Linked DNA regions of Nothobranchius furzeri. The protein of the gene in region 2 interacts with the protein of the main gene of each other region in a pairwise test. Links are inferred from orthologs where the notes say so. Each region holds a gene or a part of one and is shown on either strand. Other genes may lie near its edges.

Region 1 (11,192 bases), on a different chromosome or scaffold from region 2:
AATAACATTTCTAATACTCAGTGTTCAGAAAAGAACCAAAGATGGAATTGGCTGAGCTCTCACTTCGGCATAAGAAACCGCTACAATGCCCACATCACTTTAGATGCAACACCAATCCTATTGATCGCCCACTACATTTTCCCTCACTCATTAGGAGAAGGCATTCTACCCTTTTCTGACTCAAGACCATGGTCTATGATTTCCAGGTGGGATTCTCATTCCGGCTGCTTCAAACTCACCTGTGGCCGAGATCACGGTCTGATGAAGCCAACAGGAACACATTATCTATAAAATGCAGAGAACTGATCCTTGGGCCACCAAAACAGATCCCCTCAACACCTTGGCTGTGCCTAGAAATCCAGTCCATAGATGTTAGGAGCAGAATCTGTGACAAAGGGTAGCCTTTGGACAGAGTCCAACTCATGGGAATGAGCCCAACTTACTGCAGAGTCCGATAAATTTTAGTGGCTGGGCTGCAAAGTGAAACAGCAGTCCACGGGGGGCGCTCATTACTGGCCTCCATCCAGGCACGAATGGATGCAATATCTGCATCAACATCCTGGGCCTGGCTCAAGTCCCCCATGGTCCAACCATGAAACAAAGGAACACATGTACCTTCTCAGTCTGCTTTACAACACGTGAATCAGTGGGAATGTTCTGATGTATTGTGTCTGTATGTGTGGAAGTGTTTTGGTCTAGACTCTAGAATATTTGTGTTGGGTGTAGGGGTGCTTTGACTTACCCCCACTGGACAGACTGTTGTGTCAGCCCGCCGGTCGCTCTTCCACCCCCACTGGACTCAGCAACAGAAATCTCCCATCAGAATCCAAGCTGCACTGGAATGCCAAATGTGTAGATGGGTTCGGAAGTTTGCATAGGCTAGACAGGTGGCATGGTCTTCTGGAAAGACTATCAGCATTTGTGTGCACCCGACCCGGGTGATGAACGATCTCAAAGTCATATTTGGCAAGCTTCTCAAGCCAACGAGCTAACTGTCCTTCGGGCTCTTTCATCTCTGTAAGCCAATGCAGGCTTCCATGGTCTGTGCACACCTTAACCCTGTGGAGGCAGGCGTTGCTGATTTGCAATGTTAAAACCTACCTACCTGATGCTCCACATACATATTTCATGAGCATTTTTTAACTTAGAAGTACCCCTGAAGGACTTAGTTGTTCGTCCTTTTATCAAAACTTATTTTGAGCCTGAGAGGGTTAAAGGGCTGCCCCAGGAGATACTGGCGGAAATGGGAAGTGAAATCCACAATGGCCAGCAATTGACTAGTAATTAAAATTGCGCCCACATTTTCTAAGTTAACACACATCTCTTTTAACAATGGTAGTTTTTGCATCTTTACAGTTCCCCTGCTTCAGAAGTTGAGGGCTTCCAGGAGCTCCCTCTAGCTCACCCATATTTCGAATGTTGCGTATAGCACAAGTTTGTCACGTGAGTTGCTGAATCCTAGCAGACAGTTGCCTTTCAAAATAAAATAGTTCCCGGATCTTGTTCCAGCAAGATCTGGCTCAAATTAAGCCCTGTCTACAAGTCTACAAAACACGTAGATTGGTTGGATGAACTCCTGTGCACCCTCTATGACCCTGCTAAGGGTATAGAGCTGGTCTAGTGTTCCACAGACCAGGAGAATATCACATTTTCCTCCTAAATCTGATTGATTATCCAGGGGACCTTTGTCTCTGGATCCTTTGAAGAGACTTTGCCTGCTAAGCTCAGGAGTGTTTTCCCCCTGTGGTTGGAGCACACCATCCAGTACCTCTTTATAAATAGGGGGATCATCACCCCAGTCTGTCAATCCAGTGGAACTGCCCCCAGTATCCACAATATTTACTGTGCCGCATCAACCAACACAGTCCCACAACATCCAGCGCCTTGAGGAACTCCAGGCGAATCTCACCCACCACTGGAGCCCTACCACTAAGGAGTCTCTTAACCACTTTGGTTGCCTCAGCACTAGAGACTTGATAGCCCAAACCCCCAGAATTCACTTCCTAAATGGAAGATGTGCCAGTGGAATTGAGGAGGTATTTAAAGTACTCTTTCCACTGACTCACAACATCCCAAGTGGAGGTCAGCAGTACACCATCCCCACCATAAACAGTGTTGGTGGTGCAGCTGTGTCACCCTCCTGAGACATCAAATGGTGGACCAGAATCTTCTCAAAGTATGAAACTCCTCCATGGCCTCATCAAACTCCTTCCAGCAGGTATTTTCTTCCTCCACCACCTGAACCACACTTCACTTGGTATCTGGTGCCTCAGACCAAAAGACTCAACAGGCACATACTACTCTGTGGCCGTAGCTCTAGTCAGCTGTTTCAACTTTTATTTTAGTAAAATAAAGCAAATGACTAAAGAAGTTTGAAAATGACATGTTTTAGAAAGTAAAACGTCATCTGCTAGGATGATCAAGTCTTACAGTGAGAGGAGGCTTACCATACAATTTTTTTCTAAGCACACAACACTGTTACCAATATTCTCACTTCAGCCTAATGTAACAGTGTTGAAATAGTGTAGCTGTGCAGTAGTTTACATATAGAAATATCAGATTATTCATAAAACATACCAGTAGAAAGCCTGGAAATTGAAGGATTCCAAATGTTGTTCAACATGTGAGATAAAACATTAATTATTTTGTAGCGTGGCATCATTGTCTTGTCTGTAATTGGCCTTTTTTTATTAGGTTATATGTTTTTATGGTTGTTTTATATTGTCTTATTTGTACTTGTTGCCTGCTGTATTGTCCAGCACCTTGGGTGTTTGATGAGATTGTGGAAGGGACATTACAATCTTCTGTGCATTCATTCTGGGTCTTTTTAACTTGTATTTTTTTTTTGGTTCTCTTTTAAACACAGGAAAGAAAAGTTTTCTTCTCTGTGTTTAAAAAAGAACCAATAAATAAATAAATAAATAAATACAAGAGACTTTACAAATAAAGTGAAATGAAATGAAAATTCAAATTTTAAAGATTGTTTGTTAATCAGTACACAAGTATAGAGCAGGCATGTATGTGGCCCTCATTTGTCGCCCTTGGAGCAATTTATGTCACTGTCGTCCCCCCCCCCCCCCCCCCCAACATTGTATGTTCAAACTTAATAGTCCATTTTGACAAATTTTAGGGAGTACAAATGCAAGAATAAATATTTTTAGCATTTAAAAAATGTATATGTTGTGGCCTACAAGGACAGTTAACTTGCTGATTTTGGCTCTTATCTAGGAAAGTTTGGACATCCCTGGTATAAAATATATCAAGGCGTCAACTTTAAAGCCGCCTTTCACATGAAAAGAAACAAATATTATGGGATTAAAGCTCGTGTGTGTGTGTGTGTGTGTGTGTGTGTGTGTGTGTGTGTGTGTGTGTGTGTGTGTGTGTGTGTGTGTGTGTGTGTGTGTGTAACATAAAGTATAAAAAATACGGACGTTTGTAAAATATAGAATATTCTAAAATCAGAAAATTTGTGTCCATCACAGACATTTTATTTTACTGGTGCTATGTTTCGTAAGAGCTTAATTTCCTTTATTCATTCAGACAGAAACATATCAGGGATGTGCACAGCTGTTACCAATAACCAAATCAGTGTGTATTACTTATATATAATGGTGATGTGTTGTAAGTGAAATGTTTTATCATGTTTCTAAACAGTCCCCTTCAGTCTTTTCTTGTAGCACACTTGGATGACTTGGGGAAAAAAACATATCCCAGAATGCTCTGCGAGCCCTTCACCCCTCTTAGTTTTTGCATCCGGGTCTGTACTTCCTTTTCCTCCGTGCCTAGATGCGATGAGGACCTAGGTTTTTACGAACCTGAGAAATATCCGAATCCATCCTTGTAAAAGGCACCACCGAACCTCGTCAAAATGACCGAGCAGATGACAGTGAGGGGGACCCTGAAGGGCCACAGTGGATGGGTCACCCAGATCGCCACTACCCCTCAGTATCCCGACATGATTCTGTCGGCGTCCCGAGGTGAGGCTTCCCCCGCCGGCAGCCGCCAACATGGCTACAGCTAGCTTTGTAAGCTAGCAGTGACTCTTTGGTAATGTTACAAAAATACGATTTTTGCGGAAGTGGCAGAAGACCGCTGAAATGTGATTACAACAGCCTAAAGGCTCATTAATCGCTTATAGTGAACATTTGCGACTTCAGAAGTGGAGGAAACCTGGTGTAGTTAAACTTGTGCTTTCTAGCGTCATTAGCTGGATCTACTGTGTTTCACTCCTGGGTTTACACCAACATAGCACCGACACTGATTCATCCAGTTAAACATCAGACTACTTGACATGAGGTTATAAGGCCTTGAACCAAGCGCTGCAATGTGATATTAACTTGATATTAACTTAAGTGCTAGCTTCGCATGCTAATGCTACCTACCTGCTCTTTGCTTTAGGCAATACTCCTGAGTCCTGAACCTTATGTGTTAAACTTTCAGACAAGTCCATCATCATGTGGAAGCTGACTCGTGACGAGACCAACTATGGGATCCCTCAGCGCTCTCTGAGGGGCCACTCTCACTTTGTAAGTGATGTTGTCATCTCCTCGGATGGACAGTTTGCTCTCTCAGGCGCCTGGGACGGCTCCCTCCGACTGTGGGACCTCACCACGTAAGTACAGCTAGGAAGAAAGCTTCTACATCAGATCCGCTGTCCTGTAAATATATCTCTTTACCCGTTTACCTGCTCCCAACATATTTAAATGTGTGAGAGCATCTAGAGAAGTCAACTTAGGAAGGTTGTGATGAAATCAGTTAATCTGGGTCCTTTAGAGCAGGAAACGTGTGGAACTTGCAGGATGGTACCCCTCAAGGAAAAAAGTTGCTGACCCTTGATCTGCATCATCTAAGCATCTATGTGGAACACAGTTTAAACTAGTTAATGCTTTTCTTTTTAGAAATAAGTAAGTTGGTAAAGACTTGCATGTTTGTATTAGCTGGAAGTATGTCCTTTCTAAATTTAAGTTGTAACAAACATCCTGGATAGTTTTAAAGATATGATTTGTCACCTTTGTTCTATAAATGAAAATGTGTTTGAACCGATGTTAACACACAGTCCGCGCTAATGCGTATTTGTTACTAGAGCTACAAACATTTCAGCACTTATGACCTCTAAATACCAAGTTGCCAGGGAACATAACTTAAGCCATAAAACAGTTGGGAAATGACATCTAGTTAAGCTACACCATGTGTAAACCCAATCTTGGTGAACAAACTTCATTTGCGTGTACATGACCGTGCAACAGCTTTTTATACTAGTGTTTTGTACCACAGATAGAACTTCAGTAATCTCGCACTAAATAATAAACAGCAGACATTTAAAAATGCAGTTATATACAATTACAATGTTTGTCAGAGATCCTATAAAATAAATTCTCCCAGTTTCTTGTACCCGACACTGTTGTTCCACAGTGTTATTGTCCTTACTACACCTTCATCACTTTATACACTCCTTAGTTGTGACTTAAGAGAACAGTAGATCTAAATAAATGGGTTTGGGGTTTATACAGGAATAAAACTACAGTCCATGTTTGAACAGTTTTAATCATCTAAGTGAGGAGCTGGAATTTGATTCTGGCTAAAGTGCTGGAACCCGATATAAACTGAACCTAAAAAAAATTGTCATTGATCGGCATTAAGGTTTGTGTACTAAAGTGATTTGTTTGAATACAAGTGGGGAAAAAAACTGTTTTAACTCCTTAAATGACTGTAGCTTGTAGAGGCCATAATTAGTAGAGGAGGGCAGGCATTTTAAACTGTAAACTTAATATAGCTTTATTCTAATCGGACGTCTTAATCTTGTGTTTTTCTAGTGGCACCACCACCCGTCAGTTTGTTGGACACACAAAGGATGTTTTGAGTGTGGCTTTCTCTGCTGATAACCGTCAGATTGTATCTGGCTCCCGAGACAAGACCATCAAGCTGTGGAACACTCTTGGAGTCTGCAAGTACACCATTCAGGTGAGCTGTCACTTAATGCTGCTGCTGCTGCTGCTTAGAGCTGTTCCTTCTTTGGTTTTCATTTAGTTTTTGTTCAAGCTTTTTTTTTTTTTTTTAACTAGTTTTACATTTTCTGAGGTAGAGCACACAGCTCAGCCATCAGCTGGAGCATTGTGGACTAAATCTGTATGATGGTTTTAAGTGTGTAGTGTGTCAGGATCATGGAATAAGTCTCGGTGGTTACATGAGCTAAAGTGAGCCATTGTTGGGATGAGCTGAACTTTAAACTGTTCAAACTTGATTTTGCAGGATGAAGGCCATTCTGAGTGGGTGTCTTGTGTTCGCTTCTCCCCCAACAGCAGCAACCCCATCATTGTCTCCTGTGGCTGGGACAAGGTGGTCAAGGTATGGTTTACTAGTAATTTGCTAATGTTTGGTCCTGGTTAGATGGTTTAACTTAGTTTGCATTTATTAGCTGACTACTTGCGTAAGACAACCTTTTTTATGATTAGCTTCCATGTTGGATGTTGATGTTTGTTCTGTCTCGGGTGTGATGCCTCTCAGGTGTGGAACCTGGCCAACTGCAAGCTGAAGACCAACCACATTGGTCACACTGGCTATTTGAACACAGTGACCGTCTCCCCTGATGGCTCTCTGTGTGCATCTGGTGGAAAGGTAACATCTGCTTCCAGTAATTGTAGATTTCTGTAAAATGTTCTTTTTTAGAATCTTTAAGTGAACGGACAAGTTTTTGCAATGATGGAAAATTAATCATACATCTGTTTTAAAATGATGACAATAGAGGCTGTTTCTGAGCACGACTTGAACTTGTCACGATCCCCGTTTGTGGGGTTGGGTATCGTGTTAAGAGCTGCGATGTAATCACTGAAGAATGTTTTCTGTTGGTGTTCAGGATGGCCAGGCCATGCTGTGGGACCTGAATGAAGGCAAGCACCTGTACACCCTGGATAGTGGTGACACCATCAACGCCCTTTGTTTCAGCCCCAACCGTTATTGGCTCTGTGCCGCCACCGGCCCCAGCATCAAGATCTGGGTAAGATGTTAAGCTAAACATGTTATCAAGGAGGACTGTGATGAAATTTAAAATGTTAGCTGTATTGTTTGATGATATCAGAGGCTGTTTCTGAGCTCCGACCCAATAGAGAATGTCAATAAATTCAGGTATGTTACTTATTACCTTGGTTAGAGATACCATCACTCTGGTTCTCTTTTACCTCATTCAGGATCTGGAGGGCAAGATCATTGTGGATGAACTGAAACAGGAAGTGATCAGCACGAACAGCAAGGCAGAACCGCCACAGTGTACTTCCCTGGCGTGGTCTGCTGATGGACAGGTACGACACTCTCTGGAGGACCTTTAAATGCAGATTTCTGTTGTGACCCCTGTGATTATACCCATTCACTTTTAACTCTGATTAATTCTGCTGACAGTCCTGCAAATATGAGGGGCACCAGAGAACCACTCACATGATTGAGCCTTTTTGAAAAGCGTGCTATTATGGATGCTAACTTCTGTTCCTCTTTTACTCAACAGACCTTGTTTGCTGGCTACACTGACAACCTGATCAGAGTGTGGCAGGTCACCATTGGAACACGATAAGAACAGCCTTGCTAATGCAGCTTTGAATAAAGAGACTCTTTGAAAATAAAATGTTTTGATCTTGTATTTAATTTTGACTGTTAAATTGTTTTTTATCAAAAGGGAACATCGATCACATCGATTTAAAAAAATCTGCTGAAACAATGATCAACAGTAACGTGAAAAAATGATTGAAAAATTAGGGAAAACTAAGTTTCTGTATTTATTTATTTTACTTATTTTGCCTTTATTTAACCAGGTTGGTCCCATTGAGATACAAGATCTCTTTTGCAAGGGAGACCTGGCCAAGACGGACAGAGCAGCAGCACAAGTTACAAAATTAATACATTCACATTTAAATACATTTCCACATAAACTCAATTAAAACAAACACACTGATGGTCTGGATTCCAGTGACCTAATCAGTCAAATCCACTCAAGGAAACCAAATCCTTGATTTTTAGATCTTTTTGTAGTGAATTCCATGTTGATGGAGCAGCAAAGCTAAAAGCCGACTTTCCCAGCTCTGCGAACCTTAGGAACAACAAATTGCAAAAGTTCACTTGAGCGGAGATTGAACTGATTCTGCTGTGAGGATGGAAACATCCCTATCAGCTTGGACCAGTTTTTATTAAGTGAAATGGGATTTAAAGTCTGAAACATTTCTATTTTTTAACACTGTTCAAATAACTGCTTGTACATTAAATCTTGGCTGCTAATCTGAAATGGAATACAGAATTAAAATTACACAAAAAAAAAACCATGGGACAACCGGTCATTAAAATTTTGATTTAACTGGTGGTTTTCTAAATCTGGGGCTTGTAATTTGGAAAGTTCAACTGACGTTTGCAATTCGCATGGATTGTCCTACTTCAGACGCCGTAATTGTATCCTAGCAACTAGTCGACAGAACGAGCCCAGAGTGCTGCTCCAGGTTGGAGTTCCTTGTTTAGTTTACTGCTACATAGTCAAGTTTTGCGTGAGCCGTATTTCGTGGCCATTTAGCGTTCAGATGAAGATGGATCGTAAAAGGCCATATCACCGTGTCATCGTAGAGAAAACGCTGGCCGTCATTAAGCCAGACGCGTTTCAGCTGGCAGATGAGATTGAGAATGTTATCGTCAAATCTGGCTTCAGTATACTTCAGGTGAGTGGAAGTCACCTACTTTCTAGAGGCGCGTTTTCAATATTTGTGGAAGGAAGATATTTTTATTAAAATAGATTTATTTAGATGCCCGATAAACGCTGATTTCCATTGATCATCCTACGATCTGGTTTCAAATATTACGCTTCATGGCTTCAAAAGGTGACCGCTTTTTGAGGCCGTGTGGCTCTTACGTAGTTTTTTCAGTAGAGGGCAGTAACGGGCTGTAATTTTACTGGAAACCCTATTAAGACACCTTTTAAACGTTTAAAGGTGAATGTCTGCATGGTGTTTCTGTACATCTTTTTTCTTTCTTTTTTTTTTTTTTTTTTTTTTTTTTACTAATTGCACTTCAAAGATACTTATTGCTGTTAACTGAAACATGTCAACCATTTGATCTAGGAATGTGTGGATGTTAAATACTACAGATTACTTATATTTTTTGACTGAAATTTCACATTCACTCTTGACCATGACCTGTCAGTAATTTGCATAGACAAGTTAGTGGAAGACCTAAAACAGTGAACTGTAATGTGTGCAGCTACACACCAAATAATATACATGGGGGTGGAAGACACCCTCCTCTACCTGCAGCACTGGGTATATGTCGATGGTGCTGGCTCACCTCAAAATGCAAAAAAGCAATCTCAAGTGCTTTTAACACCATACAGCCGTGTCTACTGCAGCAGAAGATGAGGGGTGCAGGAGTGGTTGAACATCTGACTGCATGGACCATCAACTATCACCAACTGGCTACAGTACGTGAGGCTGCACAACTATATGTCTGATGTGTTTGTGTGCAGTACTGGAGCTCCACAGGGTATGGTGCTCTCACCCTTTCTATTCACCTTCTATACCTTGGACTTCAGCTACAAAACCAGCAACTGTCACCTCCAGAAGTTCTCAGATGACTCAACCACTGTCGGCTGTGTGTCTGAGGGGAATGACCTGGAGTACAGGTCAGTCACAATGGACTTTGTGGACCGGTGTGAATGTAACCACCTTCGTTGGGGTGCAGGCAGCTCTGACCAAGACTGGAAGCTCGCTTCTGGGCTGCCAACTAGTTTCAGTTGAGGAGACATGTGAATGGAGGATGGTGGGCAAAAGGACCTCCCATTTTGGAAAACCCCTCCCACCTATTGCATTCCACTGTGGAGGCCATGGACAGCTCCTTCAGAGGCAGACTGAGACATTCAAGATGTAAAACAGAAAGCTGCTGTAGGTTATTCATCCCCTCAGCAGTAAGAGTGTAAAACTCCTGAGATCAACTGGTACTGGCATTATCCTGTTACACAATAACATCTGTGCAATATTTAGTATGAGTTCAATACTTGTGCAATACCTGATGTACATCAGCATGTCTGTGTCCCTTGTGCTGCATAGTTCTGGAATCCAAGTTTTTCTTTTTTTATTTGTGGTTTTTAGTTGTTGAAGCTAACAATAATACCTTTGTGTATTTACCTGTGATCTTCTTCTTCTTCCTTTTCTAAGCATATGCGCCGCTGCTGTAGAAAGTTAATTTCCCCATAGTGGGATTAATAAAGTGTATTCTATTCTAAAACATTGTTACAGTTTACAATTGAAATTACTGCTCCCCTTGGTTCTATTTTTGTCAGATATTGCAGTACTGTACAGAACTGCTTTAGACAGATTCATGAAAAGTTGAAGTATAATGTCTGTGAGAGCTTCACAGTGTCACTTGTCCATTTAAACAAATCTGAGCTGTCTGAACTAGCTTAATATTTTTGAAGTTATATTCTATTTTCCACCACAGTGGTTCACTCACTCCACTGCTCTGTTTTCTGTGGCAGAAGAGAAGGCTGCAGCTGAGTCCAGAGCAATGCCACGACTTCTACGCAGACCAGACACTCATGTTCCCCAGTTTGACGGCCTTCATGAGCTCTGGTCCCATTGTTGCCTTGATGCTGGCTCGTGACAATGCTATCGCCCACTGGAAGTCCCTTATAGGGCCTGCCAATGCTACCAAAGCCAGAGAAACCCACCCAGAATGGTAAATCGCAGATATTTCTGCCAGTAGAAAAAAAGCATTTATGTAGTAAAATCAATGTTTGTCTTTTTACAAAGACTCAGGATTTAAATGTCCTCTTGAGGCAGGTTTCTACTTACATCCCAATTTATTAAGACATACCGACAATTTTTGCATACCGTTTCCCCTGATATATTTCTTTTGTACCTACAAAACCCACTGCCATTTTTCCGAATATTATGTGCTCACCTTGAGTTCATTTGTGAATGTGCTACTGGTCTGAGCTGTAAATCTTTAGTTTCTATTCTGCCTTTAGCCTCAGAGCAAAATATGGAACGTCTGAGCTGAAAAATGCCCTCCACGGCAGCGACTCGTGTGACGAAGCTGAGAGGGAGATCAAATTCATGTTCCCAAACTGTATGTTCCTCTCTCACCCATGCGATTATTCTTAAAGGTAATTACTATTGACTGTGATCTATCCCTTATCCTCTCTTTCTGTAGCTATAGCTGAACATGTTCCT
Region 2 (9,800 bases):
TCTGCAGAAACACTCAGGTCCAGTTCTACAGATTACACAGGTCGAGTTCTGCAGATCACAGGTCCAGTTCTATAGAAACACACAGGTCCAGTTCTGCAGATCACACAGGCCCAGTTCTACAGATCACACAGTTCTGCAGATCACACAGGTCCAGTTCTATAGAAACACACAGGTCCAGTTCTATAGAAACACACAGGTCCAGTTCTGCAGATCACACAGGCCCAGTTCTACAGATCACACAGTTCTGCAGATTACACAGGTCCAGTTCTATAGAAACACACAGGTCCAGTTCTACAGATCACACAGGTCCAGTTCTATAGAAACACTCAGGTCCAGTTCTGCAGATCACACAGGCCCAGTTCTACAGATCACACAGTTCTGCAGATCAAACAGGTCCAGTTCTACAGATCACACAGGCCCAGTTCTACAGATCACACAGGTCCAGTTCTACAGATCACACAGGTCCAGTTCTGCAGATCACACAGGTCCAGTTCTATAGAAGCACACAGGTCCAGTTCTATAGAAACACACAGGTCCAGTTCTGCAGATCACACAGGTCCAGTTCTACAGATTACACAGTTCTGCAGATCACACAGGTCCAGTTCTATAGAAACACACAGGTCCAGTTCTATAGAAACACACAGGTCCAGTTCTGCAGATCACACAGGTCCAGTTCTGCAGATCACACATGCCCAGTTCTACAGATCACACAGGTCCAGTTCTGCAGATCACACAGGTCCAGTTCTACAGATCACACAGTTCTGCAGATCACACAGGTCCAGTTCTATAGAAACACACAGGTCCAATTCTGCAGATCACACAGGTCCAGTTCTGCAGATCACACAGGTCCAGTTCTGCAGATCACACAGGTCCAGTTCTATAGAAACACACAGGTCCAGTTCTGCAGATCACACAGGCCCAGTTCTACAGATCACACAGTTCTGCAGATCACACAGGTCCAGTTCTATAGAAACACACAGGTCCAGTTCTGCAGATCACACAGGCCCAGTTCTGCAGATCACACAGGTCCAGTTCTGCAGATCACACAGATCCAGTTCTATAGAAACACACAGGTCCAATTCTGCAGATCACACAGGTCCAGTTCTGCAGACCACACAGGTCCAGTTCTGCAGATCACACAGGTCCAGTTCTATAGAAACACACAGGTCCAGTTCTGCAGATCACACAGGTCCAGTTCTGCAGATCACATTGGCCCAGTTCTACAGATCATACAGTTCTGCAGATCACACAGGTCCAGTTCTATAGAAACACACAGGTCCAGTTCTGCAGATCACACAGATCCAGTTCTATAGAAACACACAGGTCCAGTTCTGCAGATCACACAGGTCCAGTTCTGCAGATCACACAGGCCCAGTTCTACAGATCACACAGTTCTGCAGATCACACAGGTCCAGTTCTGCAGATCACACAGGTCCAGTTCTGCAGATCACACAGGTCCAGTTCTATAGAAACACACAGGTCCAGTTCTGCAGATCACACAGGCCCAGTTCTACAGATCACACAGTTCTGCAGATCACACAGGTCCAGTTCTATAGAAACACACAGGTCCAGTTCTGCAGATCACACAGGCCCAGTTCTGCAGATCACACAGGTCCAGTTCTGCAGATCACACAGATCTAGTTCTATAGAAACACACAGGTCCAGTTCTGCAGATCACACAGGCCCAGTTCTACAGATCACACAGTTCTGCAGATCACACAGGTCCAGTTCTATAGAAACACACAGGTCCAGTTCTGCAGATCACACAGGTCCAGTTCTGCAGATCACACAGGCCCAGTTCTACAGATCACACAGTTCTGCAGATCACACAGGTCCAGTTCTATAGAAACACACAGGTCCAGTTCTGCAGATCACATAGGTCCAGTTCTGCAGATCACACAGGTCCAGTTCTATAGAAACACACAGGTCCAGTTCTGCAGATCACACAGGTCCAGTTCTGCAGATCACAGAGGCCCTGTTCTACAGATCACACAGTTCTGCAGATAACACAGGTCCAGTTCTATAGAAACACACAGGTCCAGTTCTGCAGATCACACAGATCCAGTTCTATAGAAACACACAGGTCCAGTTCTGCAGATCACACAGGTCCAGTTCTGCAGATCACACAGGTCCAGTTCTGCAGATCACACAGGTCTAGTTCTACAGGTCAAACCGGTCCAGACCACTCTCTATTGGATGATTCGGTCCAAACGTGCTGCATGGAAGCCAAAAATTTCGGGGCTTCCTTCTCCCAGTCTGTTACATTTCATCATTAGAATGGGTGAACTTTTTGTGGAGTTAAAAAGAGGTGGATCACATGTTCAGAGCTGGGGTTACCTGAGTAAATGGAACATGACAGGCAATCATCAGTAAGGTTGACAGGTGTGCTTCGTTTCAGGTATTTCATCCATGGAGTGTGCAGAGAGGGCAGCCGCTGTATGTTCTCTCATGACCCGAACAACAGTAAACCATCAACCATCTGCAAGTTCTACCAGAGAGGAGTGTGTGCCTACGGAGAGCGCTGCAGGTGAGACAAGCCTGACGGGCAACAGGTCAGTCTGGTAGGTAGCAGATTAATCTGACAGGAAATGATTCACCTGACAGGTAATATTGGCTCCGTTTGACCTAGACAGTAGTAAAGCATCTGCTGATTGGGTGTGGTTGCATCGCTTGGACAGGTATGATGGTTGTGTGATGTGTGTACAGGTATGATCACATAAAACCCACACCCAGAGGAGGAGGGGGTGCACCTTCAGAGGACCTGGCAGGTGGAGGCAGAGGTGAAGCCAAGAGGACATTGGTTCTGAGGGACAGAGGTAAACACGTGTTTTTGGTTTCAGCCTTGAACACCTGTAGAGTAGGTGATATCAGCACCTAAATTAGCTATTATTTGTGTGTGTGTGTGTGTGTGTGTTTTCAGTTTGTTACACCTGAGGATTGTTCCACAGATCGAGCTAATCCCATAAATCAGGCTCACTCAAAAAAAATCCCGGCTCATTTCCCAGTTTGGTTCCTCGAGTGAGTGTTATGGCCCCTTCTTCTTGCCTGCCGGCGGCACCAAGGTGGTGCATCTCTGCCTCCGCTGGCCCACAGCAGTTGCATCTTTATTTTTAGTGGCTAAATTATTAATAAATGTGGGTTTAATCTTTTAAAATTGAGTTCTAGTTGAATTTGTATCCTTCTGAAGAATATTGTTGTGTTTAATCTTCATTAGCAGCCAGGAGCGTTTGATTCCACTGATGCTGCTCCTGCTTTAGTCTGGGATGGACCCGTATCATTAACATGCTGTCCTCTTTATGTTAAATAGCTTTAAATACTTACATCTGCCAACATAACATGTGTAAAAGGAAAACTTTATAGGTGTGACTATACATTTTAACAGCTTGTACTCTGGACAGCAGACAAGTCGGGTTAAGTGTCTTGCCCAAGGACACAACGACAGCGACGAACTGAGCGGGGCGAGCACTTAACTCCCGTGCCACCGTCATGGCAACAGACCAAATTTCACTTGGGGTACAATATCCCTTTAAAGACATGAGGGTCAGGTGACCAACATGAACTTATCTTCTTAAAACTCACAGCTGCTCAACTAAATGGCTCCAGCTGCCCAGCTTTCATCAAACAGCTGAAACCTTTGTAATCCTTGTAGGCGTGAATTAATTCTTGCTCTACCTGGGAGAAGGACGTGGCTCTTTCTTTTCCTTCCATTCTCACTCATCTAGCATGGATTAACGGACTGCCTCCACCTGAGCATCGTTTGTGGAACAGAATAAACCTAGCTAGACTCAACTGATAAGCTAACTCAAGTGAGGACTTTTAAATGTGCCTCGATTTTCAGAGTTTGCTTCAACAAACAAGCCTCTGGTGATGTTCAACATGCGACTGTGGTGGCCACACCCCCTCTGTCACCACATCTCTTCTGCTTTTCAGCTCTGGGTGGTGATGCTGCGTTTGGCGGCCCAGTACACAGTTTGGACTCAGGCTTCTCTGCAGCAGCAGCCCCACAGACATATGTGGACGCCATCAGAACTGGACTGGATGTCTTGGCACTAGAACAAGGTCTGGATTGACCCGTCTGATTGGCTGCTCTGTTTGATGTCATCAGTGTGCTTGGAGAAGGGGGGATAAACTTCTATCTACCTGCCTTTTCTGCAGAATCCCATCCAGTAGGCGGGGCTTACCAAAATGTCCCCCAGCTGTGTCCCTACGCTGCCGCTGGACACTGTCACTTTGAGGACAGATGCACATATCTCCATGGCAACCTGTGTGATGTATGCGGCCTGCAAGTGCTCCACCCCTATGATGCTGAGCAGAGGAGAGCGCATGAGAAGGTTGGACTAGGTTCTGTTAATGGAGATGTCTTTGAGTCCAGGATGGTGGGAACCTAACGTGTGTGTGCATGCGTGTTTCCCCACAGATGTGCATGCTGGCATTTGAGGCTGATATGGAGAAGGCCTTTGCAGCTCAGCTCAGCCAGGATAAGGTGAGTTGGTTGAGTATGTAAGCTGGTTGCCTTGACGGCGGCCATCCTCACTGTTGTTGTTGTTGTTCAGGTGTGTTCCATCTGCATGGAGGTGGTGGTTCAGAAGTCGAATCCGTCAGAGCGAAGGTTTGGCATCCTTTCCTCCTGCTGCCACACCTTCTGTCTCACCTGCATCCGACAGTGGCGAGGAACCAGAACCTTCTGCAACAAGATCATCAAGTGAGAGTCGGATTCAAACCATCCAGGGTCCGGGGCCAGAATCTGGGACTGGGGCAGAATCGGGTCCTAAGAAGTTTTTTTTAGACCCAGAAGACTCTGGAGTAGGTGTGAGCGAGTGTGGGACTGGTTCTGTCTCCCTGTGATGGACTTGAGACTAGAGGTCAACCAATACCGGTTCTTCTATTGCCGCTGCCAATATGTGGGAGACACGATCAGTCGATGGCCGATACATACTGCTGGTTTTTATGGGCTGATCTTCATCCAGTCATTTTCCACCTCATGCTGAAATGTTACTGATGGCATCAGTTGATGCACGAAATCTCTGAAGTCGAATCGGTTATGAACTCTGACTTTAACTTATCTTAACTTTGTGCACTGCTCAGGGTTAAAGTCAGGCACCTAAATTAAGTACATTTAGAGTATTTATTATACAGATGTCATTAGTGAACGTAAATTTAAAGTAAATTGTGCAACAGCACTGGGATGCCTGAGGATGCGCCTGACTTTAAATCAGCTTTACTAAGGACAAATATCGAGCTGATATAAATGTCTACCCCTGCTTAAGACAGGTCCAGGTGTCCTCCACCTCTTTCTGTTTAATGCTGGAGTTAGACACGAGCTCCCTGCGACCCGAGTGAGTGAGTTTCTTATTTCCTGTTGCCATGGCGGGGTCTCTAGAGGTTCTGACTCGTACACGGCTCTGACCTGCTGATTTTCACAACTTCTGATTGATTTCTAACAACTGAAAATACCAGATTACCCAAAAAAAAGATTAACATGAAGATTATGAATCTATAAGGAAAACGCTCCACCCTGAAGATACGTTACTTCCAACGTGCGTTAACATTTATTGCTCACATGTTTGTGACCTGAGACTAATCCTTGATTATTAGGATCATGGTAAAAGTTTTCTACAGGTTAAACTGTAAAAATGTTCATTAATGTCAGTAATCCAGCTCAGACTGAGAGACCATCTAAAAGCCGAAGAACCCTCTGCAGGTGTTCTGGATTCATTAGCTGATTAGAGTGCGACACTTTGGATTAGCAAGGAACGAGTCTGTCTCGTAGATTATTTTCACCTTTAGGTTGGATTACTGACATAAATGAACTCCTGGACCAGTTTCATCTGTAGGTGCAGGAACGGGATCGGTTTGTGTCTCTGAGACGGAGATCGCATACACATCTGCTTTAAAAAGCATCTTTGCTAGTCTGTGGTTCTGTTGGACCTGAGCGTCTCTCTCTGCGTCTTAGATCGTGTCCGGAGTGTCGGGTCGCCTCGGAGTTCGTCATTCCCTCTGTGTACTGGGTGGAGGATCAGGCAGAGAAGGACAACCTGATCGAACTCTTCAAGTCAGGTGTCAGGTGAGCTTTGTGCTTGAGCCCCGCCCACTTATCTTCAGCCAATGAGCTGCTAGTTTATAAAGGAAGTTAAAGCCGCAGGTGGAAGTGTGTTTTCATGTGTTGTTGTTTGTGTGCAGTAAGAAGGCCTGTAAGTACTTTGATCAGGGTCGTGGCTCGTGTCCTTTTGGAGGGAAGTGCTTGTATCTTCACACCTTCCCAGACGGCACGCGAGCAGAACCGGACCGGCCTCGGAAGCAGCTGAGCTCAGAGGGGAACGTCCGGGTAAGAAACCACAGCTTTTTCCTGGGAGCGGTAGTCCATCATCAGCTGGATTTGTAGTTTCTGATGCTGAGTTGTGTTTTCTCTGTTTAGTTCATGAACAACGTTCATTTGTGGGATTTCATCGAGGAGCGTGAACAGCGATCAGAACCGCCCCTTCCGTCCCTGGATGATGACCTCACAGAGCTGCGGGAACTCTTCATGCAGATGTCGGGTCCAAGCCAGGAAGAGTCAGAGGCTCCGCCCACTGTAGACTAGTGAAGATGTTCCTCCCTTAGTACCTGCTGTCTCCGTGGTAACCTGTGGCTCAGCTGGATCAGATCACCATATTCGCTCACATTGAATCGTTTGACCTCTCTGTAACCTCCTGCATTTGTTTCTGCCGGTTTAATTAAGGAAATTAAAGAGTATTTATTGTGTTTAAAAGGAAAATTGGGAACTGTAAATGAATTTTAGCATCTAGTTGAAACTAATCTCACACCTGAGTGTTTGATTCTCACGCGGATGTTAAATGATCACAACATCAGGAGAACCAAAGCTGTCTGCAGATCAAAAGTGTAAACGTGCTGAAATAAAAAGTTTGTGTTTGATTCTGAGCTGCATTGTTGCTCCTGGAAACCTGAAACCTCCAGTTCAATGTCTCCTCAGATGGAGAAAACCAACGTTAACCAGAGAAAGCTACCGAACGCTAACGCAGCTTTGAGTCTAGTCTCTAACTCACACCTTCATACTTTCAACCAAAACCCCGATGAAGGTTCACCATCCAGAAAGGATGAGCGCAGCCTCCACGGGTGGAGGTCCTCCTGTCCACCTACAGCTGAAGGACAAGTGACACAGCAAGGCTCACTGGTTCAAGAGGAGTCAAGGAGGACATCTGTTTTCAAACATCTGCTTTCACTCCGGTCCTCAGCTTCTACTGATGAAGATCTCAGTACAGTTAATCAGCCTGAAGCTCTTTGAATGGACGTCTTCTGAGATGAGAAGTCTTCCGATGGGAAGAGGCGGTCCAGTTCACCCAACGAGGCACAGATTCTGATCTGGAGGCTCACCATGAGCAGGAATGACTCAGTGGTTCCACCACCCTGAAGGAAGGAGTGGGTGAATTCTCAGCTCCACAGCAGGCTGGAGGTGGATCCATCTGTCCTTTGGAGCGGGCTTCCTCTGGCTCCACACGTGTTGGTCTGTCATCTTCACCCTGAACTTGTTTAGTGGAGAAGACTCCAGATTCAGACTTCACTGCTTTCTGGTTTCTTGTCTCCTCCAATTACATTAATCCAGTCAGAGCACCTTATCTCCCCACAGCTGAGAGCAGAGAGTCATGTGGGAACAGGTGGCAGGGACACCTCCTCCTCCTCCTTCTGCTGCTGCTCCACACATTCGGACACTCAGACTGGCTCAGCCCTGTCTGGCTGCTCACTTCTCCACCGCTTGTTGATCTGAAGTTTTCCTCACCCTGTGGCGAGCTAATGGACCCAGAGACCCGGGTGTCCCGCTGCCGGGCCAAGGGGACAGGACAGTGAGGAGCAACAGAGCCGGATCACTGCTGCTGGGAAATAAAGAGCTGGAGTGGAGAGAAAGGAAAGAGGCCCGTTGGAGTGGGAATAATGGGAGCTGCTTATGGAAAGAAGGTCAGTGAGTTTTTAAAGGTTCCCTTTGACAGAATAGTTCCTCCTCACAGGCTCTTAGACTTTTAGGAGGTCCTGAAGGTGATTTGTCGACTGATTAGAAGGACCAGTGACTTTCTTATGAACAAATGTTTACCCCCATATGATTGTAACTAAACCCTGAACGCTGACTGCAGGTGGAGCTGAATGTAAGCACAGCTCATGAGCATTAGTTTCTGCTCTGTTGTTGCTGGTGTTTACTTGCTGGAAAATGTCTAAACCAGCCTGCCGGAACAGATCTGATAATCACGTTAATGCTGCATGAAATGAGTCCTGGCTGTAATAAGGTCCGACCGGGGTTCTGCAGGTCCTGACATCTCCCAAAGTGCTTCAGTGATTCTGGTAATCTCTCACTGATGATGGAGATGCTTGTTGTTTATCCTGCTTGCATATGGAAGCCTGTGCCAGAAAACAACATGAAAGGGTTAAAATGATGTTTGTTAAGACAACCACAGGTTCAGAACATCCTGCTGCTCATCCAGCCTCAGGGCTCCAGTCCTGCTCCTCACAGAGAACAGACCACAGGTTCTCAGTCCCACCAGGAGGTCCATTCTCCAGCGGTTCAGATAAAATGTGGCTGTTAGACGTTCAGACGGGTGATCTGATAAATGTCTTTGCCGCTGCAACAAAAATCGAAAACCAAGACGAGGTCGAGACGCACCAGGTTTAGATTTATCCTGACATGAGTTCTAATAAAAATGCTGAATATTTCAAATATTTTTTTATGAAAATATTAGGCCACAGTACTGCCTGGTAACTAGAAGCACAAGCCCTCACTGACCTTTACTAAAAAGCAGACGTGTGAGCTCCGGTCATAAAACACGACCCAGATACTGATAAGACTCACGTTTATTCATCAGACCCAGAAACTAGAAAACAGTCAGATCCAGAGACTTCCTGTCATCAACACCAACCGTGTCACAGCAAAACACGTGACTGTTAAAAATTTAAATAAAACGTTCATCTGACACTAAATGCTTAGATACTCCTGCTTAGGTCAAACTTCTTCTGCAGCTGTTTGGACCTGTCCTGATATTCAGCTGAAGACCGTGTCCTCTCTGGTTCCTGCTTCATCCTCAAAGCTGAAGCACTGCCCTGATATCTAACACAGCTCAGATCTGCAGGGACAAAAACACAGAAACTACAGGAAAACTACCCTAAATAAACTTGACAAGCACAAATGTGTGGATGTGGTGCTGAAGCTCCAGTGATGGCTGAGTTTGTCTTTGTGGGTCTGTAGGAAACCGGAGCTCTGAAAACTATTTGAGTTATGAGGGGCTCAAACCTGTAGAGGCGTGTGGGCTGGTTTCCACGGTGACAAACAGCTGACAGCCAGCCGTTCGGGGGGCCTGACTGGAGGTCGAGTGGCTGTAATGTGGAGCTCACACTGACTCATTGAGTTATTTAAAGTTATATGTTCCAATGACAACAGCTGAGGCATGTCTCAGGGTCAAAGGTCAACAAGGGGAGAGTAATCTATCGTCGACCAGAGACTCGTTAAAAAGAAAATATTAATCAAGTGTTTATTTAAGGGGAAACACACACACACACACACACACACACACACACTCACACACACACACACACACACACACACACACACACACACACACACTCACACACACACACACACACATGCAGATTTCTCTGGATTTGTTCCTTCTGGACCCCCCCCCCCCCCCCCCCCCCCCAGACAGGGTTCCTCTTCCCCCTGGTGAGGTTTGAGACTGGTCACCAGCAGAGCTTCTGCGTGGTTTGCAGGTGTTGCTTCTTTTTAATTACAAGAATATTTTTAGACTCTAAAAATTCAGTCT
Region 3 (10,722 bases), on a different chromosome or scaffold from region 2:
AGGCTGAAGCTGTCTGATAGTTTTTCCGCACTGAAACGTCAGCTCCGTGAGAGAGACGCACACATTCTGACACCTTAGCCTGTCTGAACTAACGTGTGCCGTCAGAAACATTCAAACCATTTGTAAAAGACAAGTTGGGCTTTTAAGTTAACTAAAGTGTGCGACTCCGCACTCGCGCTGATGAAGCAAAAACCAAGCTTTAGAAATCAGCCTGAACCTGCTCTGATGTGGGAGGAGTCTCTCTCTCTCTCTCTCTCTCTCTCTCTCTCTCTCTCTCTCTCTCTCTCTCTCTCTCTGTCTCTCTCTCTGTCTCTCTCTCTCTCTCTCTCTACATGTGTGTATATATATATATATATATATATATATATATAAAAATATATATAATCGGCTCTAGCAGCGCTGTGTGTGGGAACATGAAACAGGGAAAATAACCTGAACATGCAGCTCTGGCAGCTGTGGAGTTGGTCTCGGCTCTGGACTGTACGCCCCACCCCCCTCCCCCGCGCTGGCTTTTGCCGCCGCCGTAACACCGGGGAAAACCGCGGATGTAAAACAAAGTTACACAACTGATCCTGTATCAGTCAAAACCGCTAAAACTGCAGCTTTGACGGTCACGTGATCGTGCTGTTTGAAATTGCAGTTTCAGTTAAAAAATGTTGGATCTTTCAGCCCGACAAACTACCAGAGTCCCAAAAAGAAAATCACCATTTGAAGTCACGGACGACAAGACTGTTGGACCTAGAAAACGGTGACGGGTGTTTAGCGCTATCTCGTTATTCTGGCATCGTGGGTTTCTGGTTCTGGTGGACACAGAACAAGGGAAGATACTTGGATGTCATGGGAGCCAGTGGGAATGTGCTTCTTTCTCTAGCCAGCCCCTAGTGGATGAGGGGGGAACTGCAATGTTAGTCGCTGGCTTGTTGGTCTCACTTGACTGCAGGTGGAGTTTGCCCCTTCATACAGATTATAAACATTTGTTTCATCACATTCATGTTTTTTCTTCACATGGTAACACAAAGGTAACTCCCTCATGTCGGAGCTGAAGGGTGAAGGGTTTTCAGTGCGTTTCAAGTTCAAAGTCACTTTTTCAGGATTGCCTTCCCTCCGTGACACTTAACATGAAAATCCAGCACCGGGTTTATTTTTCTTGATTTAGTTTTTATTTATTCCGTAGCTCACTTTTAACACCTCGTACCATCTTGTAGTTTTTTTGGTTTTATTTTCCATTTCAAATGGTTTTTATCATTCGTTGCATTATTTTTATTCTTGATAGTGCCGTTAACGGTTCTCTTATTCCATTGTTTTTATTAGGGATTTTCATCCTTGATTATTTATGCTATGTTTTTATGTATTTGACCTGATTTTCATGCTTTCATTGTGTTTTGTTGATTTGTTCAAGCATTTGGCTCTTTTATGTACAGCACGTTGGTTAGCTACCATGCTATTTTGAAATGGTGCCTTATAAAAAAATTGGTATGGTATGTTTCTGTTTGTGCAATAATTTGTTTGCTCAGGTTTGATCCCTGACAAAGAGGTGCGAGTGAGTGTGAAGGCGTTGGCTGTCAGCTGTGTCGGCGCAGCAGCAGCGCTGCATCCCGAAGCCTTCTTTAACCCCCTCTACCTGGAGCCGCTGGATGGCGTTCCAGTAGAAGGTAGGACAAAATAAAATAACACAGCGAAGCTCTTTAAACTGAGTGTTGCAGTTGTTGGTGTTGTTAAAATGCGTTTATAATAATCTTTCTGTGTTTTATGGCTCTCATTGATGGTAGAGTAGATGATCCTGGAAAAAGCCATGCAGACAAACTACTTTCAATTCAATTCAAGTTTATTTATAGAGCGCCAAATCACGACAAGAGTCGTCTCAAGGCACTTCACGTAATAAACATTCCAATACAGGTCAGTTCATTAAGCCAGTCAGAAAAAAGTTTCCTATATAAGGAACCCAGCAAATTGCATCTAGTCACTGACTATAAAGCACACGACTATTTTTCCAGGATAGGTAGGCCTCCTCATGGTGCGTAGAGCGCCATGTTCTCTCCAATTTTCTAGAGTTTTGTTTTAGAGCTTGTAAATGAGAATTAAACCAGGGAGCCAACTTCCTGTCCCTAATTACCTTCTTTTTTAAAGGGGCAACATCATCTAATGCCACACGTAAAGAGGAAGTAACATTATGAACTAAGGCATCCATTTGTGAGGAGCTAGTAATGAAAATGTTGCCCTCTGCTACGTTCCTCTGAGATGCTGAGGTCAGTAAAGATGGAACAGTTGATTTAAAAGATGCAACTGCGTTGTCAGATAGAGACCGACTATAGTGAAATTTACTTTCATGTCTCGAGAACTCAGTTATAAAAAACTCAAAGGTTATCAGAAAGTGGTCCGAGAGGACTGGATTATGTGGAAAGATGGTTATTTCCTCACACTCTATGCCATAAGTCAGCACAAGGTCCAATGTATGATGGCAGGAGTGGGTGGAGCTATGTATTCTTTGAGTAAAACCAATTGAGTCTAAGATATTACTAAAGGTTACATTGAGGCTATCATTTTCAATGTCCACATGAATATTAAAATCCCCCACTATAATGACCTTATCAGTATTTAGCACCAAATCTGATAAAAAATCAGAGATCTGATCCAAAAACTCAGAGTAAGGGCCTGGTGGACGATATAAAACTACAAACAAGAGCAGTTTTACAGTTTTATAATCTGGATTAGGAAAACTAAGAATAAGATGTTCAAAAGAACTGTAGCTATTAATTGGTAAGGGATTGATTAATAAGTCTGAAATAAAAATGGTTGCTTTTACTTTTACACCTGATGATGTTTTTTCTGCTCAGCATTCGTCTCTTAAAACCCAGACATGATGTCGTCCTAAAGCTGGACAACATCCATCAACACGTAGTTGCTGATGTGAAATCCCACCTTTGAGCTTGAGCTGTAAACCCTTTTGTTGAATAATAATGTAGTTACAGCTGTTGTGGTCAGATCTAAAAGACTGTCATACATTGCAAGGCCTTGCACCTGGTTTGTGTTGAGAATGAGGGTGTTTCTCAATGTCAAGGCACCTGGCCTTGCAAGGTGATGTCTTGCGAGGCCAGGTGCCTTGCTTACGAGGACCTTGGTCAAAGAAAACGGTAAAATGGAACAGACTTGCATCATGTGACCGCAGCTTCCACGGCGGTCACGTAACGTCACGTGACACGGAAGATAACGTTATATTTCATCTCTATTAGTTGCAATATAAATATATAACGAGCCTTTGAATTTTTAAATTGTGTATATGTTAATTAAATTAAAAATATAAGCGAGTTACTACCCGCTAGCCACCGAAGCTGCAACTACCAAGCAACTAACAACCATAGATAACTCTTAGGATCTAAAAAAAATTTTTTAAATTAGTTTACTTACTTTTAAACTTGAAAATTGTCCCCGAAGTAGCTGCCGGCTTCTGATCCACTGTCTTTTTTCAAAATACAGCGGTGTATTGTGGGTAATTTTTGACCAAGGCTAGGCTACAAGACCCCTCCCGTGTGTCCTCGCTCAGCTAGCTAAACGGCTAACAAACGGAGAACACACGCCTCGGTAGAACACGAACATTGGAGCATGCCTTGGCGGCTCCCGATGACGTATCTCCTAGGCAACCGGGGCGGGGCCAAGACATCACGGCGAGGTTCCTCGGCATTGAGAAACACTCTGACTCTGCTAGCAGCGTGAAACGGAGGTCTGGTGGCCATCTTGAATCGAGTTGACTCGGTGTTTCCTCGAAGTGAATCTGGTGAAAACTTCCTAAGATATTTAGCAAACAGACATGCCACGTTCCAGTGTGGTATTTAAAGCATCATTAATCCGTTTACAGTCACAATATTTACAAACTGCATATTTGCTAAAATATCTCCTATTTTGGGTGATTCCTGCAGTGGACCGTGACCTGCTGTGTTTTATGCTGCATCCCTTTGCAGAGCGACAGTACGTCAGCGACGTTCTCTGCCTCATCACCCACGGGGACCCCCAGATCAGAGGAGCCACAGCCATCCTCTGCGGAGCCATCATACAAGCTGCGCTAACCAAAACACGCTACAACATTCACACCTGGCTGGCCAGTGTGCAGCGTGCAACAGGTTAGCGTCTGCTTTTTCTGCTGCTGGCATTCTAAACCTTATAAAAGTAGCTCATCAGGTCTGCCTGCTCTTTAGGTAACCCTTTGTCCCTGGTGGACTTGGTGCCTTTGCTCCAGAAAACTCTTAAAGATGATTCCTCTGTCACCTGTAAGATGGCTTGTTCTGCAGTCAGGGTGAGGTGGACCCGTGTGCTTTTTGGGTCTCGGGGCTCTAGCTGCAGTTGTGAGTCTGACTTTTTTTACTACTTGTGGGTGTTGCAGCACTGCATCATGACCCTCTGCAGCAGCACCCTGAGTGAACTCGGCCTGCAGCTGGTGATCGACCTCTTTGCTCTGTGGGACTCTTCCTACTGGCTCGTTCGCACCGAGCTCCTGGAAACGTTGGCTGAGTTAGACTTCAGGTAAAACAAACTCGAATACCCAAATCCAACATCTCAAACACTGACGAGACTCCAGATATTCTGTGTGTCTGGAGGATTTCCACATGTTAAAGTTCCTGATTTTTCTTTAGATTAGTCGGTTTCCTGGAGAGGAAAACAGAAACTTTACACAGAGGAGCTCATCACTACACTAAGGTAGGTTCAGACCTGTTTTCGTCCGTGTTTCTGTTATTAGTCCGGAGCTTTATTGTTCTGGGTTGGTTGATGTTCTTCTAGTGGCTGCTGCTGCAGGACAGAGTTCTGAATGACGTGGTCATACGTCTGCTGGGAGATGACGACCCAAGAGTCCGGCACGTGGCGGCGTCTGCTGTCAGCAGGTGTGTGACGGACTTGTGTTGATGCATCAACTGCAGTACCTAGATCTGACCACAGAAGGTCATTCTTCCTTCATGCTGCTTTAAGCTAGTTTTATTTCCTTGTTTTAAATCAGGGGTCGGCCGCGGCTCTTTTATCCATCTGATGCGGCTCCCTTCTCGTAAAATAATGAATGAATATTGAATATTATTCATTTTTTATCTGTATGCCAATTCTAAATTTAAAGATTGTCAGCGTAAACCGGAACAGGTCCAACAGCTGACAGGTCACCTGCAAATGTCTCTATAGGGGCTTTCTGAGTTGAGAAGGATGTGAGATTCTGGACTTTTGCCTCAGACAGGCTCATGAATGCATCGCTGCGTCGCCACATTGGAGACAGGAACAAGCGCTATTCAGCCAAAGTTTCATAATAGAGTACATTTTCTAAGAGACGAGTCTCTCTAGCCTTTTTCAGATAGACATTCTGGAACATTTGTGGACAATTCAATCCGGTTTTTAACCGGAACTGTGTTTTCAGACACACCACTTTTGTACCGGAACTTGTCCTTTCGGCTGCGTTCACACAGCAGGGAAAAGTTCCAGATGTCTGACGGCGGCGGGGGGTGGGGTAGGGGCGGAGAATCTGACTTATGTTTAGAAGAAAAAGAAGAAGAAAATATCATTTCTATAGCGCCTCTCCAGATAAAAATCACGAGGCGCTTAAGCATAATTCTGCGCACACGAAGACGCATAAGAGACCTGGATGATGAAGCTCAATGGTTAAAGGAATCACTGAAGCGGTGTGAAGCGCTCCATCGCGCGTCTAGGCAGTACCGTAGGAGGCAAGCTGCCGTGGTTCGTCGCATGCTACAGCAGCGAGCTATCTAGGTGCGCACAGCGTCCCCGTTCCCCTCCTCCTTCCCCTCCCCCTTGTCCGGAACTTTACCTCACCAGTCTGAAGCAGCCACCCTGTCTGTAACAAGTCCGGACCTGTTACTAGGGGTTTCGTCCGGTAAAATTCCGGAACACCTTATCCGGATGTTTGTATTCAGACACAGAGGTCTTACGGACAGAGTCCGGAACATTTCCGTTTTTCATGGCCTGTCTGAAGGGGGCTTCTGAGAGACACGGTTTGGGAAACACTCGCTTCAGTGAGAGGAATCTTCCTGCATGCGCACCGGTTCTGCAACGCGCTCCAAACCCCCGATCTACACATCAGCTGAATAAATCTTCAGCTCGCTGTCCACCTTACGCATGCGCTGAGCTCAGTGTCCAGCTCTGATGGGAACCTTTTCTTGATTGACATAACTACTAGGGATGAGCCGGATACTGGTGTCAGACGAGTATCCGGTACGGATAAAATATTTTTGACGAGTACGAGCATGAAACGAGTAAAACTCGTAAATATCTGTAATCGTGCTGAAGGAAAATCCTCATTGGGTAACTGACTGAGTTCCCGCTCTGTGATTGGCCAGTCAAATAGAGTGCCCGCCCCTCCCTACACACAAAACTGCAGTGGGAGCTCACAGCTCAGTCCGCGTCCGGTCCATCCACGCGCGCGCACACACACACACACACACACAGACCATAACGGATCTCTCTGTGCTTGCTTCACTGTTCACGTTTCTTCAATACTCCCTACGTTTTCTTCAGTTTGCTTCTTTTTAAAGTTACTTTAAAGTTACTTAAAGCTGCTTTTTCCGTAACGTACGTGGTGCATTTGACGAGACAGAGCTGAAAACAGCTCGTGCTGCGTCAGTCACTGCCTCCGCTCCGGTCGTTTTTTTCCCCTCCCCTCTTCCTCAGGATCAACTCCCTCGTTCCTGTCCACTCTCTCTCTTTCTTTACATATTTTAATCACAATTGTCTTATTTTTTAATCATTTTAAATATATTTTAATCATTTTCTAAATTCTTTTTTTCTTTTTTACATGTTTTGTTTTTGTGAAGCGCCCCGTGATTTTTATCTTGAGAGGCGCTATAGAAAAGATCTTTTCTTCTCTCTCTCTCTGCACTTAAATATTAATGTTCTGATTTTATTGAAAAACTTGTTCTGTAATAGTTCCTTTACTATTGTGATCAAAAACATTTAATCTCAACTCTGAGGCTGCTCTGTAAATAGTTTTCAAATAAACAATACACATAGCAACTTCTGATCAGACTTAAAACAACGTATTAATGTAAACCACACCCACTTCTGGTTAAACTACACCCACTTCTGGGTTAGGCCACGCCCACTCCGAGTACAGATACAGATAGTGGTGTACTCGCTCATCCCTAAGAGGACAGAATGCGCAGCTAATTAATTAAATAATTTGGTTCTGTACCTTTCTCTTCAGCACAGCCGACAAAGGTTTATGATGGGTCAGTCCTCCTGCATGCTCAGATCATTCCCTTCCCTTGCTTGAAAAATTGTTCCAAAATGAAAGTAGAACCCACATCTTTTTTATCTGTGAATTCAATGCCGTTCAGCGAGTCTCAAATAAAAATTTGGGCATCTTACTGTAAAAAATATACCATTAATGTAAAAAGAAACTCTAAATGAACTATGTTCACATCCAGAATCAAACCCGGATCCTCAGCACGAAAGTCCGATGTCTTACTAGGCGAGCTAAAGCGCCAATGACGTCCTTTGTATCTGTAACATTTATATCATTGATGACAGCTGAAACAACGTTCAAAGAACGGTTCGGAGGGCTATGCCTGAGCGTGAACGCGCATGAAGCAGCCTGCTCGACCCGAGCAGCTCTCTTTTTCTGTGATCTTACAGAAAAACAGGCAATCACAGTAAAAATGCCAGGGCTCATTCTCCAGGACCAGGGCATTGCAGGAGAATGTATGAAGAAGACATTTATTATTTCTATACATGTTTTGGCTGTCAAACTTCCATAATGCCCCTTTAATGTGGGAAACGGGTAATAACGTCTCTTTGATGGGAAAAGTTTGCCGAGCCCTGTTTTAAATCAACCCGCACTTCTCTCTACTAGACTAGTTCCAAGACTGTTCTTCGACTGTGACCAAGGCCAAGTGGACCCAGTGGTGGCGATTGCTCGGGACCAGAGTTCGGTCTACCTACAGCTGCTGATGCACGAGACTCAACCCCCGTCTCAGTTCACGGTCAGCACCATCACAAGGTGGGCTTTTCCTTCTGTAGCACCCAGAGCTGTCGGCTGTTTCAGCCGGGGGTGCTCTGACGGTTGTCATCACTGCTGTAGCGCTCACCGCGGTGCTTTTTTCTGTTTTGTCCGTGAAAATGAACCCGTTGTTGGATCTTCTGACAGGAACTCGGACCATGTTTTTGCCACCTCAACGCTTTGCTTTACTTTCAGGACGTACCGAGGCTACAACCTTTCTAAAACCGTGTCTGACGTCACTTTGGAAAACAACTTGTCCCGAGTTGTAACGGCCGTCTCGCACGCGTTCACGTCCTCCACCTCTAGAGCACTGACCGTAGGTGTTTCCTGCAGCACCACATTGCTTCACACTGTGTGTTTTTAACGTATTAAAATGCTTTTGCCTCCTCTGAAGTTTGGCTGCTGTGAGGCTCTGTGCCTCCTGGCATCGGCTTTTCCGGTCGGCACCTGGAGCACAGGCTGGCACTGTGGCTACGTTAGCGCTAGCAGCTTCTCGTCTCGTTCCAGTCTGAGCCGCAGCAGAGGCAGGTCCCTCAGGTTTGTGGAACCGCTCTCACTGGTTCCTAATGCCACGGTAGCGCTGTTGTGATTTTCGCTCCTTTGTTTTGATAGTTTGTCCCAGACGAGCAGCGCTCCAGCGTCTTCAGCCGCCACTTCATCAGCTCCAGACGCTGAGCGGAGGACTCTGACCGTAGGAATGGCCAACATGGTGCTGTCCCTTCTGTCTTCTGCCTGGTTCCCTCTGGATCTCTCTGCACATCAAGATGCACTTTTGCTCTGCGGCAACCTGCTGTCTGGTGGGAAGTTTACATAAAAGTGAACCGTCCTTTGGTGCGTTTGTCGCTAACCTGCCATTGACTAACCAGCCTCGTAATCGTGTTCCCAGCTGTGGCTCCTCGATGCTTGCGCAACCCCTGGGTCGGAGAGGAGGAAGGCAGTAGTGGGAACGCCAGTGGGGGCCCAAATAAAATGGAGGAACCGTGGCCGGCACTGTCAGAGCGCTCCCTGGTGGTCATGGTGGAGCAGCTGTTCTCTCATCTCCTGAAGGTGCTCAACATCTGTGCTCACGTGTTGGAAGACACGCCGCCAGGACCAGCCGCTAAAGTGAGAAATGTAGTTTCTTTGTTTTTTTCAAAGCGGCGGCGCACTCGGGCCTTCATTGCTGCCTTTTATTAACCTCTGAGTACAGTTTACAGCTGCATGAGTCTGTTGTTTTTCTCCTTTTGTGTTTTAGGCGGCTCTTCCCTCCCTGAGCAACACGCCCTCCCTCAGTCCGATCAGGAGAAAAGGCAAGGAGAAGGAGGCTGCAGAGCCCAGCACGACTCCTCTGAGCCCCAAAAAGAGCAGCGAGGTCAACGCGGGTGAGTTACTCCAGACCGTGCTCAAACATGGATGTGCAGTCGCCTCTGAACCAATGAGTGATCTGGTTCCCATGGAAACCCTGTAGTTTTCATCGGTAACTTTCACACGAACCCTAGACAAGTGTTCGCCAGAATCAGCTGCGAAACCCTGCCTCTTCTACATTCCAGGGGGAATGAGCATTTGTGGCCCCGCCCACATTTGCTTAAGACCGCCCACAGGAATGAGAGCAGAGTGTGCCTCGGCTAGTAGAAGCTTACCAATAGCATTAGCAGTTATTTGTGGAGATAAAACACCAACATTATAGATTCTACCTAAGAAAGTCGCTTTGCTGTTAGCCAGTCAGAGGCAAGATGTTTCCATATCATGGATGGCGGTCCTGATGGTTTCCAAACCGCACTCCTCCGACCAACTTTTGCTTCTTGAAACAAGAGCGCCATAGCTTTGTTTCCACAGAAATCGACTCAAGAAGCATTCATTCATTCATAGAGACCACAGCAGATATACTGAAGAAACGAGTGAACGAGTTTAGGGGTGGGCGATATGGCCTAAAATCTGTATTGCGATATAATCAGAAAAATATGCGGTAACGGTATATATTGTGATATATGACTTTCTTTTGTATGTATGTCAAAAACGACAGTTTCTAAACATACTCACATTAGGGCTGTCGCGGTAACCGCAAAAATGAAATATCGCGATATGAAGAAGCCCACCGCGCTGCATCATGGGCCACCGCGATTACTGAACTTGGTTCAACTCAATGATGCATGTTGAGAAGGATGGCTGCACTGGTATCAACACGAAACGTTACTTCGCTCCTTTGGGAGCGCTTTGGTTTTCAGTACGTCAGCTGCTGCGCAGCCAGAGTCCTTGGCCGAGACAGAGCTGCCACCAGCGGCAAATAAATAAATAAATAAACGCTCGGAGACCTGCTGAAGTCCCGGACAAGCACTGCTTCTGCAGCCGTCCCGAAGAGAGTTTGAGCCGAGCTGGAGCTCACTCGCTACCTGCAGGAGGAATGCATCCACCCTAAAGAAAACCCCCGTGACATGGTGGAGCAACAAACGGGAGATTCCCTTTGCTCGCCAGAGTCGCACGCAAGTACGTGTGTGTTAGTGCAACGAGCGCACCATCCGAGAGGCTTTTCAGTGTTGCTGCAAATGTTGCCGCCCCTCTCAGATCCTCTCTCAAACCGTAGTTAACATGCTGGTTTTCCTTGTAGGTAACAAGGACGTGACCGAGCTATAAATCACCGTCATTCGTGTGTGTGAAAGTGAAATGATAGTGCGCCCGCCCCCCGGCGCGCGCGCGCGCGCCCGGTACATGTAATTTTTTATGCTTGATTTTAAACAACTAAACAAAATGGGGACTTGTTTATT

Evidence for each region.
Region 1: the proteins of mkrn2 (region 2) and rack1 interact in binary tests that used the Homo sapiens proteins (3 or more experiments, as listed by UniProt). The two-hybrid records come from large-scale screens. The link is inferred for Nothobranchius furzeri from reciprocal best matches to the Homo sapiens genes MKRN2 and RACK1.
Region 3: the proteins of mkrn2 (region 2) and htt interact in binary tests that used the Homo sapiens proteins (3 or more experiments, as listed by UniProt). The link is inferred for Nothobranchius furzeri from reciprocal best matches to the Homo sapiens genes MKRN2 and HTT.

Annotation. Positions count from the first base shown.
Region 1 is NC_091741.1:97,227,862-97,239,053, reverse strand, and holds rack1 (small ribosomal subunit protein RACK1), read left to right. Parts: upstream 1-3,756; 5' UTR 3,757-3,868; coding exon 3,869-3,977; intron 3,978-4,440; coding exon 4,441-4,612; intron 4,613-5,813; coding exon 5,814-5,961; intron 5,962-6,249; coding exon 6,250-6,345; intron 6,346-6,504; coding exon 6,505-6,615; intron 6,616-6,853; coding exon 6,854-6,994; intron 6,995-7,184; coding exon 7,185-7,295; intron 7,296-7,495; coding exon 7,496-7,561; 3' UTR 7,562-7,612; downstream 7,613-11,192. Other genes in the region: nme5 (nucleoside diphosphate kinase homolog 5), read left to right, coding at 8,553-8,687, 10,496-10,695, 10,988-11,088, 11,173-11,192. UniProt on the Homo sapiens protein: Scaffolding protein involved in the recruitment, assembly and/or regulation of a variety of signaling molecules. Interacts with a wide variety of proteins and plays a role in many cellular processes.
Region 2 is NC_091743.1:77,112,223-77,122,022, reverse strand, and holds the end of mkrn2 (E3 ubiquitin-protein ligase makorin-2), read left to right. Parts: intron 1-2,398; coding exon 2,399-2,527; intron 2,528-2,706; coding exon 2,707-2,816; intron 2,817-3,930; coding exon 3,931-4,059; intron 4,060-4,155; coding exon 4,156-4,331; intron 4,332-4,417; coding exon 4,418-4,483; intron 4,484-4,553; coding exon 4,554-4,702; intron 4,703-5,953; coding exon 5,954-6,064; intron 6,065-6,180; coding exon 6,181-6,325; intron 6,326-6,415; coding exon 6,416-6,580; 3' UTR 6,581-6,912; downstream 6,913-9,800. Other genes in the region: protein FAM107B, read left to right, coding at 7,927-7,950. UniProt on the Homo sapiens protein: E3 ubiquitin ligase catalyzing the covalent attachment of ubiquitin moieties onto substrate proteins.
Region 3 is NC_091746.1:25,520,107-25,530,828, forward strand, and holds part of htt (huntingtin), read left to right. Parts: intron 1-1,514; coding exon 1,515-1,652; intron 1,653-3,956; coding exon 3,957-4,115; intron 4,116-4,190; coding exon 4,191-4,288; intron 4,289-4,375; coding exon 4,376-4,515; intron 4,516-4,625; coding exon 4,626-4,689; intron 4,690-4,770; coding exon 4,771-4,871; intron 4,872-7,834; coding exon 7,835-7,981; intron 7,982-8,176; coding exon 8,177-8,297; intron 8,298-8,375; coding exon 8,376-8,518; intron 8,519-8,593; coding exon 8,594-8,778; intron 8,779-8,867; coding exon 8,868-9,094; intron 9,095-9,215; coding exon 9,216-9,342; intron 9,343-10,722.